Xenopus tropicalis: one gene and its partners. The protein of the gene in region 1 interacts with the protein of each later gene in a pairwise test. Links are inferred from orthologs where the notes say so. Each region holds a gene or a part of one and is shown in the gene's direction. Other genes may lie near its edges. The genes, in order: spred1, ncald and hpcal4.

What was found.
Region 2: the proteins of spred1 (region 1) and ncald interact in binary tests that used the Homo sapiens proteins (3 or more experiments, as listed by UniProt). The link is inferred for Xenopus tropicalis from reciprocal best matches to the Homo sapiens genes SPRED1 and NCALD.
Region 3: the proteins of spred1 (region 1) and hpcal4 interact in binary tests that used the Homo sapiens proteins (3 or more experiments, as listed by UniProt). The link is inferred for Xenopus tropicalis from reciprocal best matches to the Homo sapiens genes SPRED1 and HPCAL4.

Annotation. Positions count from the first base shown.
Region 1 is NC_030684.2:110,838,756-110,843,189, reverse strand, and holds the start of spred1 (sprouty-related, EVH1 domain-containing protein 1), read left to right. Parts: upstream 1-1,581; 5' UTR 1,582-1,716; coding exon 1,717-1,739; intron 1,740-4,434. UniProt on the Homo sapiens protein: Tyrosine kinase substrate that inhibits growth-factor-mediated activation of MAP kinase. Negatively regulates hematopoiesis of bone marrow.
Region 2 is NC_030682.2:131,164,503-131,168,656, reverse strand, and holds the start of ncald (neurocalcin-delta), read left to right. Parts: upstream 1-1,319; 5' UTR 1,320-1,588; intron 1,589-4,154. UniProt on the Homo sapiens protein: May be involved in the calcium-dependent regulation of rhodopsin phosphorylation. Binds three calcium ions.
Region 3 is NC_030678.2:90,976,489-90,980,835, forward strand, and holds the start of hpcal4 (hippocalcin-like protein 4), read left to right. Parts: upstream 1-1,487; 5' UTR 1,488-1,552; intron 1,553-4,347. UniProt on the Homo sapiens protein: May be involved in the calcium-dependent regulation of rhodopsin phosphorylation.

The DNA of each region.
Region 1 (4,434 bases):
AGCAGAAAACTGCATTGGCTTTGGGTACTAGCAAGTGAGTGATACTTTTTTCCCCTTCTTCCTTTTTCAAAATCACAGGCCAACACATGGGCAACAGAGTAAAAAAGCTGGCTTTTTTGGTAATGTTTGGCTTTTCACTCTACTGCACATGCGTACCTGGTACGAAGAAAGAAGAAGAGGATAATTCACATGTACCCCAGGTCGGTGCAGTTTTCTAACAGGAGCGCTGGCTCGCATTATCAGGTAAGAGATTATAATTACTGGGGGGTGTCTAACATTTGGCAATCCCCAGTGATTGTACCTTTTCTTCTCCTTAAATAATTGTATATCATACACGGCCACTGTGCGTCAATCTAAAGGTGGTCATACATGGGCCAATAAAAGCTGCTGATGGTCTGAGACAGGCTACTGGACTAGTATCTGACCAGATGTCAATTGGGTAAGTTTAAAAATCCCATCGAATGAGGTACACATTAGTGCATTGATGTGGTCCTCGTCCCAACGGCCTGTATCCCATCAACATAATCATATTGTTTGACTGGAGGGTCAAATGATAGGATCAATGAGATATCAGGGAAATATCTGCTTCTGAGCATATCAGGCAGTGTCGGACTGGCCCACCAGGAAAACTCTTGGTGGGCCCAGGTGTAAGTGGGCCCTCCTGCTCATGACCATTTGGCCTGCTTCATGGTCATTCCCTATTTCTGAATGGGAACACAGAGGAGAAATAGATGGAAGAATAGATGCTAGCATGTAAATAAAAGAGACTAGGAGAATAAAGAGAGCAAAAGAGGAAAAATTGTTAGGAAAGTGGGCCCGGGGTCTAAGGTTTTCTGGTGGGCCCCTGGGGTCCCAGTATGACACTGATATCAGTGAAAGATTCGCTTCTTTTGGGACCTCACGGAGGAGGGGATAGTTCAACCTATGACCAGTTTATGGTATTTCCAAACCTACTATACTTGTGGGCTCTTTAGTACCATCCTGCTCTGCTGTCCACATTGTCACTCCAATTCAACAATAGAACACTTGGCAGTATGGCAGCAATCCAAGAGGCAATTAAGCAACTGTAGAGTCCAGGCTGCCTGGTTTCAATGTATCTGTGTATTTTCTCCATTGAGAAAAAAAAACATATAAGTTATAAATGTGTTTAACCAACTGAATAATCGCCCAGGGATCCTGTCAGGACAATTATATAACGAAAAGAAAATAAAACGCTTCTCCTCAAAGGCGGCTCGTTGGGACTTCTACATAAGGGGTTAAACAATGGGTCCAGAAATAGAAGTATATGCAAAGGCTCTTGCAAAGTTGTCTGTGTGTGAGCGTAAAGCTAAGGCGCAGCGAGGAAGGCGCTGGTGTGTGTGCGCCTGTATATGTACACATATATGTATGAACTGTAAAGGAGGAGCACCCTCCCTCTCCCTTCCACCCCCAGTAGAAGGAGGAGAGACTGGGAGGAGGAGAGCAGGGGAAACGCAGGGAGGGGGGTCCGTTCTGGATGCGCACTCGCACGGATGCTTGGCGCAGGATTGGCCTGCCTTTAAATCGCTTCTCCGCAGTTTATCGCTGTTTCGAATGCTCCGGCGGGGCGCACTTCCCATATAACCTTCCGATTGCCTCCCGGATCCCTGTGCCCTCACCATGCGTCTCCTTCGGGAGCCTCCCTGCGCCCTGGCCGACGGCAGCCAGCCCCGAATCGGAGCCCGGTGAAAGGGGACAATGAGCGGCGAACAGGAGCCAGAGTGAGTGCCACCTGTGTCCCGTACTGGTCTCTATTGCACCGGGATGGGTAGATTAGGCCTTTGGGATGCGCAGGGAGCGCTTTGCGCCGGGCTAGTCCCTGTGTGGATCCCATGCCCCAGCGCTGCACACTTGTGCGAGTGGGAATGCAGAGAGCGTGTGTGAGCGCATACAGGCAGAATGTGTGTTCTACTGTGCACTCCCCGACTCTAATCATGGGCACTGAGTGTGCAAGGGGATGGGGGACATAGTGGCCAAGTGCAATCAATGCTTTTCTCTATGTTGCCTCTCATGGGTTGTGGGCAAGGTATTTCTGGCTGGCTTGTCTACCTGTGTGTATGTGCCTGGAGCTGCAATTCTGCATGGGATAAGCTAGAGCTGTGTGAAAAAGTCTCCATGACTAAAGCACAGTATGTACTAATACTTGCATTATAATGTCAGTGCATCATACTGTATCTAAGCAATGCTTGGCAGGTGTGGCTTACACTATGGTATAATGGCCCATCTATCTATCTATCTATCTATGTATCTATCTATCTATCTATCTATCTATCTATCATCTATCTATCTATCTATCTATCTATCAAAAGTCTAGCATGTCTATCTGTATATTATGGGTGTATATAATATAACTATGCAAAGACACATCTCATAATTTATGCAGGCATTCTGTAATGTGAGTATATTTTTATTACATTACATTAACATTTATTTATAAAGCGCCAACATATTCCGCAGCGCTGTACAATAAGTGGGTTACATACATTGGACATACAGAGTAACATATAAAGCAATCAATAACCGATACAAGAGGTGAAGAGGGCCCTGCCCAAAAGAGCTTACAATCTACAAGGAGAAAGGGTTGAGACACAAGGTGTGGGAATGGGCATGACCAGAGTTGTGAGAGTATATATCAGATATTTTGCAGATGTCAAACCTGCGGCCCTCCAGCAGTTGCTTATATTCTCCTTTAAGTATCCTCTGAGAGCCGCAGGTTGGGCATAACTGCTTTGTGTGCTCACACAAACACGTATGTATGGGAGCGTGTGTTTGTATACATATATTCATATATATGTATATAAGTGTGTATATTAAATATATGTGTATGTTTATATATATAGCTATTGCATCATTGTATTGTTTATGTATATATCATGTTTGTGTTTGTATATGGTTTGCAGTTGATTTTGTGCAGGTGTACAACATTTACATATTTGTATATGATTTTCATGTGGAAATTGTTTATTTGAGAAGGTCTTCATCAGTGACCGTAGAGTGAATTTCCCTATTTTAGAAAAGATGGCTATTTTTTACTGTATCCATGTGCGTGCAATTTTTTCTTTTTTTGCATGATTTAACGAGGCGGCCTTATTATGCTTCAACAATGTACCACATTCATATATGTGTGCCTTGTGCTGTCAGTTATTATATACATTTGTATATGTGTCGTTGTATGGCTATTTTTTTGTCCATGAATGGTTATATATAATGCAGAAAGATGAGCACACCCTCAAAATAAATCAAATGCCTGGGTGCCAGTAATACATGGTTATTTTAGAAAGTACAGAAACACCAAAGTGAATGCATTGGTTCCAATGCGTTTGATTGCACGTTTAATTTCTGTTTTATTTCACTTTAAATATTGTGATTCATAGGATATATACGCCAAAAGTATTTTAGTACAATTGTGATTCTGACAGCACAACTTTTGTGTAACCCTGTTCAGTTCTGCTGATTTATCAGCCTGCTGATAAGGTGAATTGAACTATGCACCTTGGGCTTATTAGTGTTCACATTTGCTACAATAATTTCTACATTCGAGCTTCAACTCAGTATTATTCTATTAATATGTGATATTTCTACAAACTGTTCTGGGATATATTTGCATTATTTTATTGTACCAGGGCAGGTTGCATAGTTGCCATTTACTCTCATGTGGGAAATGCACCGTTCTGTTGCCATCCTGGAGAGTACAGTTGATTGAAAGGTGTTGGACAAATTAGCCTTTGCGTAGGGCCACTTAGGTAAAGCAGGGCTATTTGACCTTTTTCCTTTTTAGCTGTTGCTCAGCTCCCAGCATTATTAGAGTGTAAGCTTTTGTGAGCAGGCCGCTCTAATCCTACTGTTTCATTCTGTAGCCTCTACAAACCATACCCTTTTACAATTTGTAACCCTTGTTTGATATATTTTGTAAAGCAATGTGTAACTTGCCAGAGCTATATAAATAAATGATGAGGAGGACTGGTAAATGCTGGAAATTGTAGGTCAATAACAGCAGTAAGGCATGTTTCTTGGACAGGTGAGCTGCTTTTCTGCTGGCAGAGGCACTGCACCACCAAAGACATCTTTGTAGCATGTTCATTGTAAGCTAACGTTTATTATTATATGTAAATGTGCTTATCGTTATATGTCATATGTACGTACATTATTCTGCAATATGAGCAATTGCTGTGCAAATTGGTGTGTGCGATTATTAACACCAGAAATATTATAATTTATGTAAAAATTACTAGGCATATTTCATAGCTGGATATAATTGGGGCACAATGCAAATAATTGGATGCAAATGCAACCTGTATAAATGGTGAAAGGTCCCTGTTTACAAGAGCTTAGGCTTATGGCACACAGACATTTTGATTACCACTCTTCTCCCAGAAAAAAGGAAGCAGCAGTGAAACTACTGGCATTGCTACTGGT
Region 2 (4,154 bases), on another chromosome or scaffold:
GTACAGTATGCAGGATATAGCTAGCAGCCCCAGTACAGTATGCAGGATATAGCTAGCAGCCCCAGTACAGTATGCAGGATATAGCTAGCAGCCCCAGTACAGTATGAGGGATATAGCTAGCAGCCCCAGTACAGTATGAGGGATATAGCTAGCAGCCCCAGTACAGTATGCAGGATATAGCTAGCAGCCCCAGTACAGTATGCAGGATATAGCTAGCAGCCCCAGTACAGTATGAGGGATATAGCTAGCAGCCCCAGTACAGTATGAGGGATATAGCTAGCAGCCCCAGTACAGTATGAGGGATATAGCTAGCAGCCCCAGTACAGTATGCAGGATATAGCTAGCAGCCCCAGTACAGTATGAGGGATATAGCTAGCAGCCCCAGTACAGTATGCAGGATATAGCTAGCAGCCCCAGTACAGTATGAGGGATATTGCTAGCAGCCCCAGTACAGTATGAGGGATATACCTAGCAGCCCCAGCACATTATGCAGGATATAGCTAGCAGCCCCAGTACAGTATGAGGGATATAGCTAGCAGCCCCAGTACATTATGCAGGATATAGCTAGCAGCCCCAGTACAGTATGCAGGATATAGCTAGCAGCCCCAGTACAGTATGCAGGATATAGCTAGCAGCCCCAGTACAGTATGAGGGATATAGCTAGCAGCCCCAGTACAGTATGAGGGATATAGCTAGCAGCCCCTCAGTACAGTATGAGGGATATAGCTAGCAGCCCCAGTACAGTATGCAGGATATAGCTAGCAGCCCCAGTACAGTATGCAGGATATAGCTAGCAGCCCCAGTACAGTATGCAGGATATAGCTAGCAGCCCCAGTACAGTATGCAGGATATAGCTAGCAGCCCCAGTACAGTATGCAGGATATAGCTAGCAGCCCCAGTACAGTATGCAGGATATAGCTAGCAGCCCCAGTACAGTTAGCCCCTTGGCTAGCAGCCCCAGTACAGTTAGCCCCTTGGCTAGCAGCAGGGCACCAGGTGTGCCACAGCAATCCCCCAGGGCTGTCAGGCCGCATCTAATGACTACAATGCGCACACAGTACAGGAGAAGGAATCTGACCTATTGAAATCTTTTCAGAACACTTCTGTTGTTGCCAGGACAACCAGCGCTCTCTCTCTCTCTCTCTCGCCTTTCATGTGGCCATGTGACAAGAGAACGTGACGTCATGTGGGGGCAGAGCCAGCGCTGGGAGCCACACACAGCCCAGAGGCTTGTGAATGTGTTGCATGGTGGGACCTACAGTGTGAGAGCGCTGCTTCCTACTCCTCCTGTTGCTGCTGCTATCGCTCCGCCGGAGAATGGACTATTAAATCGCCCGTCTGCTAAACTGCCCCGCTCCTCGCCTTGTCGCTGCGCTGTATGAGAGCTGCCGCCGCAGTCGCAAGTCACGGCTCTTCCCCTGTCTCTTCTGCTTTCTTCCCGAGCAACTTTGTGTGTGCGGGGCAGCACTTTGCACCCATGCAGCAGGGATAAGATCCGCCGCAACGTGTGTACTCGGTGTAGGAGCTGCCACACTGGGGCCGGTGCTGCGATCAGCAGGAGGAAGTGGAGAGAAGTCTTTCGGTTTGAGTGAGTACAATCGCTATACGACTTTGCCGCATGCTTCTATCACTATCGTGGCTTGTGCATTTGAAAGTTTCTCAGTGCTGCGCCCACAAGTTGCTGGGAACGATTGATTTAAGTGACATAGCAGCTCCCTAAGCACTGACAGCAACACCGTTGTGCGACACTGCGACAATAGACTTTTGCACAAGTCGTGATACAAGTGACTTGTGTATCAGGAACAGAATTCTGTGGTCCTAGTGATTTGTGTAGTAATTCAATATACGAGTGTCTTGTGAAACAGAATTCTGCCAGGGATTTTTTGTCTTACAAAATCGTTTTTGTACTGACAGAAGTCACTTTCTCCTGGTTGGGTGCTTTCGCTCACATAGGAAGTAGTGTGACCCACAGCTTTCCGGAATTAGACAGTGGGTTAAGATGATACCATTTGTTTTCAGTGATAATGTTGATTGCTTTTGGTCTCCCCCCCCCCCCCCCATTGAACTTACTTCATACAATAACTCCGCATTGTGACACACACACCATTTGCACTAGAGCCCTGTTGGCACTAATGAGGGCAGACAGATCTGATGAAATGCTTTGCACTCTTGCTGGCAGCTACTTAGTCATTTTCATGTGGCTGATTTGCCTCTCTAGGGCTGTTTGGTGCTGGGAAGCTAGGCAGAATGAGAATTTGACCTGTACGCTCCAAGCTGGCCATACACACACCGATTTAATGGTACGAAACAAAGTTTCATTCAGTTTTCTGACTGTTAGTAGGCTCTGAATTATTGTACTGACAATTTACGTACAATGGCAATTGGTTGTTTAATCGATCAGACAGGTTAGGCTTTTTGTTGGAAAACAATATCTGTGCATGTATTGCCTATCTGATGATTTCCTTGGGGAACTTACGATGTATTACCAGGACATAACTTTCATATGATTGTTGTCTGGCAATTCTTAATCACCAAAACATCGTCAGATTTATTATTTTTAGGTCTTTAATCTTACAATTTAAATCTGAATGTTAGTTTTAGGTCGAACATTCATTGTAAGACAACTAAAATCTGAACTCGTATGCTCAGCTTTATGGTGAAGACACACGGAGCTACTAGTAGCAGCTACTTGTCATGGCTACTAAAATAGACTGCTGAATATTTACTGATAACAGTCTCTACATGTGTTTTAGCAGAGGAAATTCTCAGTATTGTCTATGGCAGGATATTTTCTGGAGTTTCGTATCCATGAAAAAGTAGCTGCTACTAATAGCTCTGTGTGTCTTCACCCTTATTGTGAAAAACATAGTTAAAAGTCCTAATGATGTGTATTGTGTAAGACCATTTTCAGTGTATACAACATACCCTTCTTACTGTGGTTCTGCTGCATCTCTCAGAATGCCCTGACAACCAAAAGGATGCCCACCAACTGTCCTTAATGTACAACTCCCTGCATTCCTTTGGTTGTCATGTGATGCGGAGAGTTGCGCTAGACAGTTAATAAGCACCCCTGATTTATTTAACTTCTGCCCCCTTCTTTGCCCTATGCAAAACTAAAAACATATAGGAAATAACTTACAAAAAAACCCTTTATGTTTCCCATTGCCCTAGGGGAATGTATATATATGTATAGTGTAAACATGCCAGATATGGACATAGGAAGTATAAATTTAGAATACATCCTCTAGGAAATGTTGCATGCTTTCAAGGTTGCAAACTGTGTGCCTCTTGTTTCAAATAATATTTATTCAGATATCGTTATATATTTGTTAATTCAAATATATAAAAGTCCTTTATCATTAGATTTTATTTTTTTTTTCCACCTGATTGGAGATCTCTGTTGGAAGGATATCATCCCATCTACTCATGGGGGGTTAATACTTAGCAAACACTGGCTGGAAGGGAGATACTGTTACAAAGGCTGATCCAGAGAGACCTTGAACCTAAAAGCTAATATTTGGAATGAAATGCCCTATTGAGTCATTCTGCCAGTCCTTTTGTATGTTTGTCTTGGTGTAATAAGATACATTCTATAGTAAATATAAACCTACAAAAGTTTCCATATACTATAATTACACACGCAGTTGCTAATAAAAAGCAATATCTGGCTATCCCTTGCTGTTTTCCTGCACTGCTGGTCCAGACTACATGCACGTGTGAAACAATGTAACAGTATTTAGTTCTCCTTCAGCCAAGACTCCAATTCCTACAATGTCTAATGTTGAATTCTTTAGTTGTCTTTTGGCAAACCCCTGGTCCCAAGCCTTCTGGATAAATTATCTCATACCTGTACCTGTTTAAATATGATATATTAATGGATTTTTGTTATCAGTTACTGCGGAGTCATAATGGGATATGAAAATTCAACTTCCACATCTATTCTTTGCTCATGTTTAATAGACAAGGAAAGCCTAATTCAAAATACCGGGCACCACAGGCACATAGCCTTACCTTGTCCTTTAAAGCAGAACTTGTTTTATTTTACTTTGCCTTGTTCTGTAGGCCACTGCCACTCTGGGTTCTCTTTTGCAGCCGTTAGCGGATTATATAGAAGTAATCCATTTGGCAGCTCTTATTTGGGTTTATCCTCGTTT
Region 3 (4,347 bases), on another chromosome or scaffold:
CCAGAGACTTGCAGAAATAATGCAAGTCTCTAAAATAGTTACATGTCAGTGTTAGTTCTAGTAGGTCCATAAATACAAAACCCATTGGGAACACATTGTCTGGACTTTTCTGATTAGCAATTTGTCAACTGCTAAATTGTAAGTGCATTATTTTTATTTATATATAGATGCTGGTACTATTTTACATGATGGAAGTGCACCCCTTGTTTTATGTTTATCTAAAGGAGGCCTATTAGGGCAAATAAGAATCCTATGCTAAATATGTATGGTTTACACCATAAATAGGTTTGCCACCTGGTCAGTATTTTACTTGCACTACCTGTAAAAATTATGTTTAATGCCAATGTTATTAACAGGGAAATAGAAAACATAAAAATATAGGAAGGTCAGTATTTTTCCATGTGGCAACCCTACCTGGGTGCCGGAGCCATGAAACAACACAAATAATGCAGAAAAACTGCACTCACAGGGCTCACTAAACATTTAAAACACTAATTAATATGAAGTCTACCAGACCATTCATAAATCCATAAGGCTAATGTGTTACTGAGAGACTATAGGTTTGTAGATGTGGCTGGTGGGGGTCAGCTTTGGGGACGTTTCCTGCAGATTCTTTCTCCATTTAATGTTTTTGCCAAACTTGCTCTGGTTACTTGAACTATACATTCTATATGTAGTACTCTGGAGTATTTTCTCTATGTATTTTATGGTAAGACATAATCATTGGCTTAATATTAGCTGGAACTAATATCATTCCCATCAATCTTTAACACAATTATAATGGAGATGGTTTTCCAGGTTAGGCTTGCACAGCCACATTTTCATGAACAACATACAATTCAGACCCATTTTACATTTGCCTGACGAAGATCCATGAACTATGAGCAAGTATACGCCACTGCCAATAATACAGAGAAACTCAAGTTGAATATATCTGGTTTATTATGGGTCTTTGTGTATTTTTTGGGTTTATTTCCATGTATTATTCATATGTAATGTACACTACATATTTAAAAATAGCTGCTTAAGAAATCTGCATAGGTTTGCATCATCGAGTATGCATTTATGTATATTTCTTGTCTTTTCTGTGACATCTACAGATCTGTGACAAAAATAACATGTCCTGTATATATCTGCATGAATTTGTGTTTTTCTCTTATTTCATTCCTTCAGAGCACAGCATCTTAGTGCCATGGCTACTGTTTCTATGGAAACCCTATGTGGAGCTTGTTTTACATCCCTAGACATTTTCTTACTAACTGGCCTCCTCTGCTACCACTAGCCAAATCTGTCCCCTGTGACACACAGTGGCATCCTGAGCCACACGGACATTTCACCTTGTTAACATACCTCCCCACCAATGGCACAAACCAGTGTATATGGGAGGGTGGGACTATGCAAATAAGGTGTGACAGGCAAACATCGTGATCTGGGTTTTGCTTACTGCCCCCCAAAAACATCTCACTGTGAGCAAGTGACACAGCTAGAAAAAACAGGAGCAAGACAGCAGGACCATCACAGAGAATCCAGAGGTATATCATTCAACGTTAAGGTACAGTATATATGCTTTTGCTTTGTATTAATAAGGTGGCCCTAAACAGAGTATTCTCTTTAGAGAGCAGACTTTACAGTGATATGCTTTGTATAGTAGCCCAACCTGCTAGTCTAGGAGATGATTTCCATGGCTGGAACAATTTTAGGACATCAAGACCAATTATCCCTCATGCAAGGCTGTATCTAGCTGGGCTTTTGTTTAAATTATTATTCTCTCTCTGTTTTGTGTCCAGCTCCTCTTACTAATGGCAGAGGAAGGGGCATTACAGTTCTGTAAATGTGTTTTCTGTGTCGACTTCAAAAGACCTTTCAGCAAGAACAGGTGATTGTAGAACGCAGTGTCATTTAGTGTGTGCCTCGAGCTTTTTGTGTAATTGCGCAGGTCTAATAATTCACATCTGTGTAGTATTGGTAAAATTGCAACTGGAACATAATCTGACTTTAACACTTCTCTTGCTAGTGGTTTCTTGCATAATGATTTCCAAATCCCAGATATTTATGCAAACAGTAAGATGCAGTCTTTTTATGTATGGATGTCAGAGCATACAAGAGTCGTGGCATTACATAGATGGAAATTGTTCATCAGCCAGATACAAATATGTATAGTGGGACACAAATATACAGTGTTAGAAAAATAATATATATATATTACTATATAACCTATGAATACTGTGAATCACTGACCCAATTTCCATTTCAGTTTAGTATACCCATCATCAAACCGTGCACATTTCAGATTCCTACTTTACATGCTTGAGATCCATGAAGCAAGATCCTGTGTTTGCCTTAAATATGTACTTTATTTTTAGGGTGGATATTACAATAAAGAGCATAATGAGAGAAAAGTAAGGGAAATATACAGACTCTCAGAGTGCACTCTGGGAGTCCTATGTGTACCAGGCAGCAGTTGCCATAGTAACCACCTCAGCACCAGCTCACACTTACACAGGATGGAAAATGGTGATATTCGTTCAGCAATGAGAGGAAGAGACAAAGAGAGAAACTGTTAGGACAAGCAGCCATGAACAATGAACCTCCACTAGCAGCCTGACACACATATACTGAAAGACACAACAATATCCCAGTGGTCTATAAACACAGATGTACAATAACATAAACATATACGTACAGGAATATTGCTATTAACATCCTCTCAGGCACAATAGTGGCATATTGATTTTTTTCCATTAACATACCATAAAATAGTGAAATATATATGTACACAAGTATATTATCATATTAACTTACAGGAATCCAGCTTATCATTGCTTACATCTTCAAGCAGAGTGTCAGGTGATGATAGCAAATCCGTAAAGGCAAAGGGCAAGCATTATGTTAAAGGGAAGAAAATATCTGTTAAAATGTTTAATCCAATCACACACATCATCATATGCCATTGTAACACTTGTGTGTTAAGCGCAGATTTTGTAATTGTACCATGCTACAGTAACCAATGTTTTTTTTTAAAGATATCTGATTAAAAGCTATTCTTTACATCATCATCTGTTTTGCCTTCAGCATAAGCTTGTACATGCAAAACCATTGATCTGTTGAAGTGGTTCAGGCATAAGAAAAAATAACAAAGCTATCAATACTATAGCTCAAGTACAATAACTTCTGAATTAAACAACAGGTAGGACTGACAGATATTAATCAGTTGGAAGAGTTATTTATTCATGACTGACACTACACACAAACCATATCAATCTGTATATCCACAATGGAAAAAGCAAAGTCAAAACTACTGACTGGCAGTTTCAGTAAATATTTCTTTCTGATCATGAGGACCACACAAAATGCCACAAGGCATCATGAAATTTTGAGTAAGTCACTAAGAGATGTAATAAAGTACATGGCAGATTGAAAAAGGCCATAGAAATGTCTTCATTTATGCTCTTATTTGGCAAGAATTACAGAAAATTAGTGTGACTCCAATCCAGTGCACCCAGTTTACCCATATAGGTGCAACACCTTTCAGGCCTACACTGTGTCTTTACCTCCTGCAGCCCAAGAACAAGATTACAAGGTCCAACAAGGACTCTATAGTGTATGCCAGGATGAGTTTTCTAAACTAGTTCAACCCTTAGTAGCTAATTTACTAAGCCAGTGCATAATAAAAGCACAAATCACCGTTTTTGATCTACAATGCACTGAAAGTGTTTTTTCTTATAGTATCTGTATAATAAGCCCATGGTAAATTTCAAACAAGTTCCAGTGCAGGAATATTGCAAATTATTAAGCAATAATTTCAGAAGCGAAGGGCAGGATACCCAATTTTTAACATTAATTCAGCACATATTAGGACTTACATAGTTAAGTTAAACTTTATGTATACTGAACATACCTATTGTTATAAAGGGAATATATGTATGTTATGGTTTTTTTTTATTTTTTTGAACAATACAGGCCAAACTCTAAAACTGAAAGCCCCATAGATAACTGCTTAATGTTATTGTGCCCCTTACCTTGCAGGCTTGTACCCATTTATGACAAGATTAGTAACCAGTGCAAATCTGTCCACCATTAGTTTATGATGCAGTATTTCTTCTGGGAAAGAAAGTTGCATCATGGGTAAAAAACTGTCCAATTAGACTTTTTTTTACACTACTTAAGTAAATGATCCATCATGTATGATGTTAGTTCAAAGGTCATACATGGGCCAAGCTGGCACCTCAGCCCCTTCTGACCAAGTCTGCAGTTTAATGGTCCTTAGGAGAGCCTGTCTAATAGAGTCAGAATCAGTCAGATATCAGTCAGGTTTGAAATGCCATCATGTAAGGGCTGCAAAGGCTT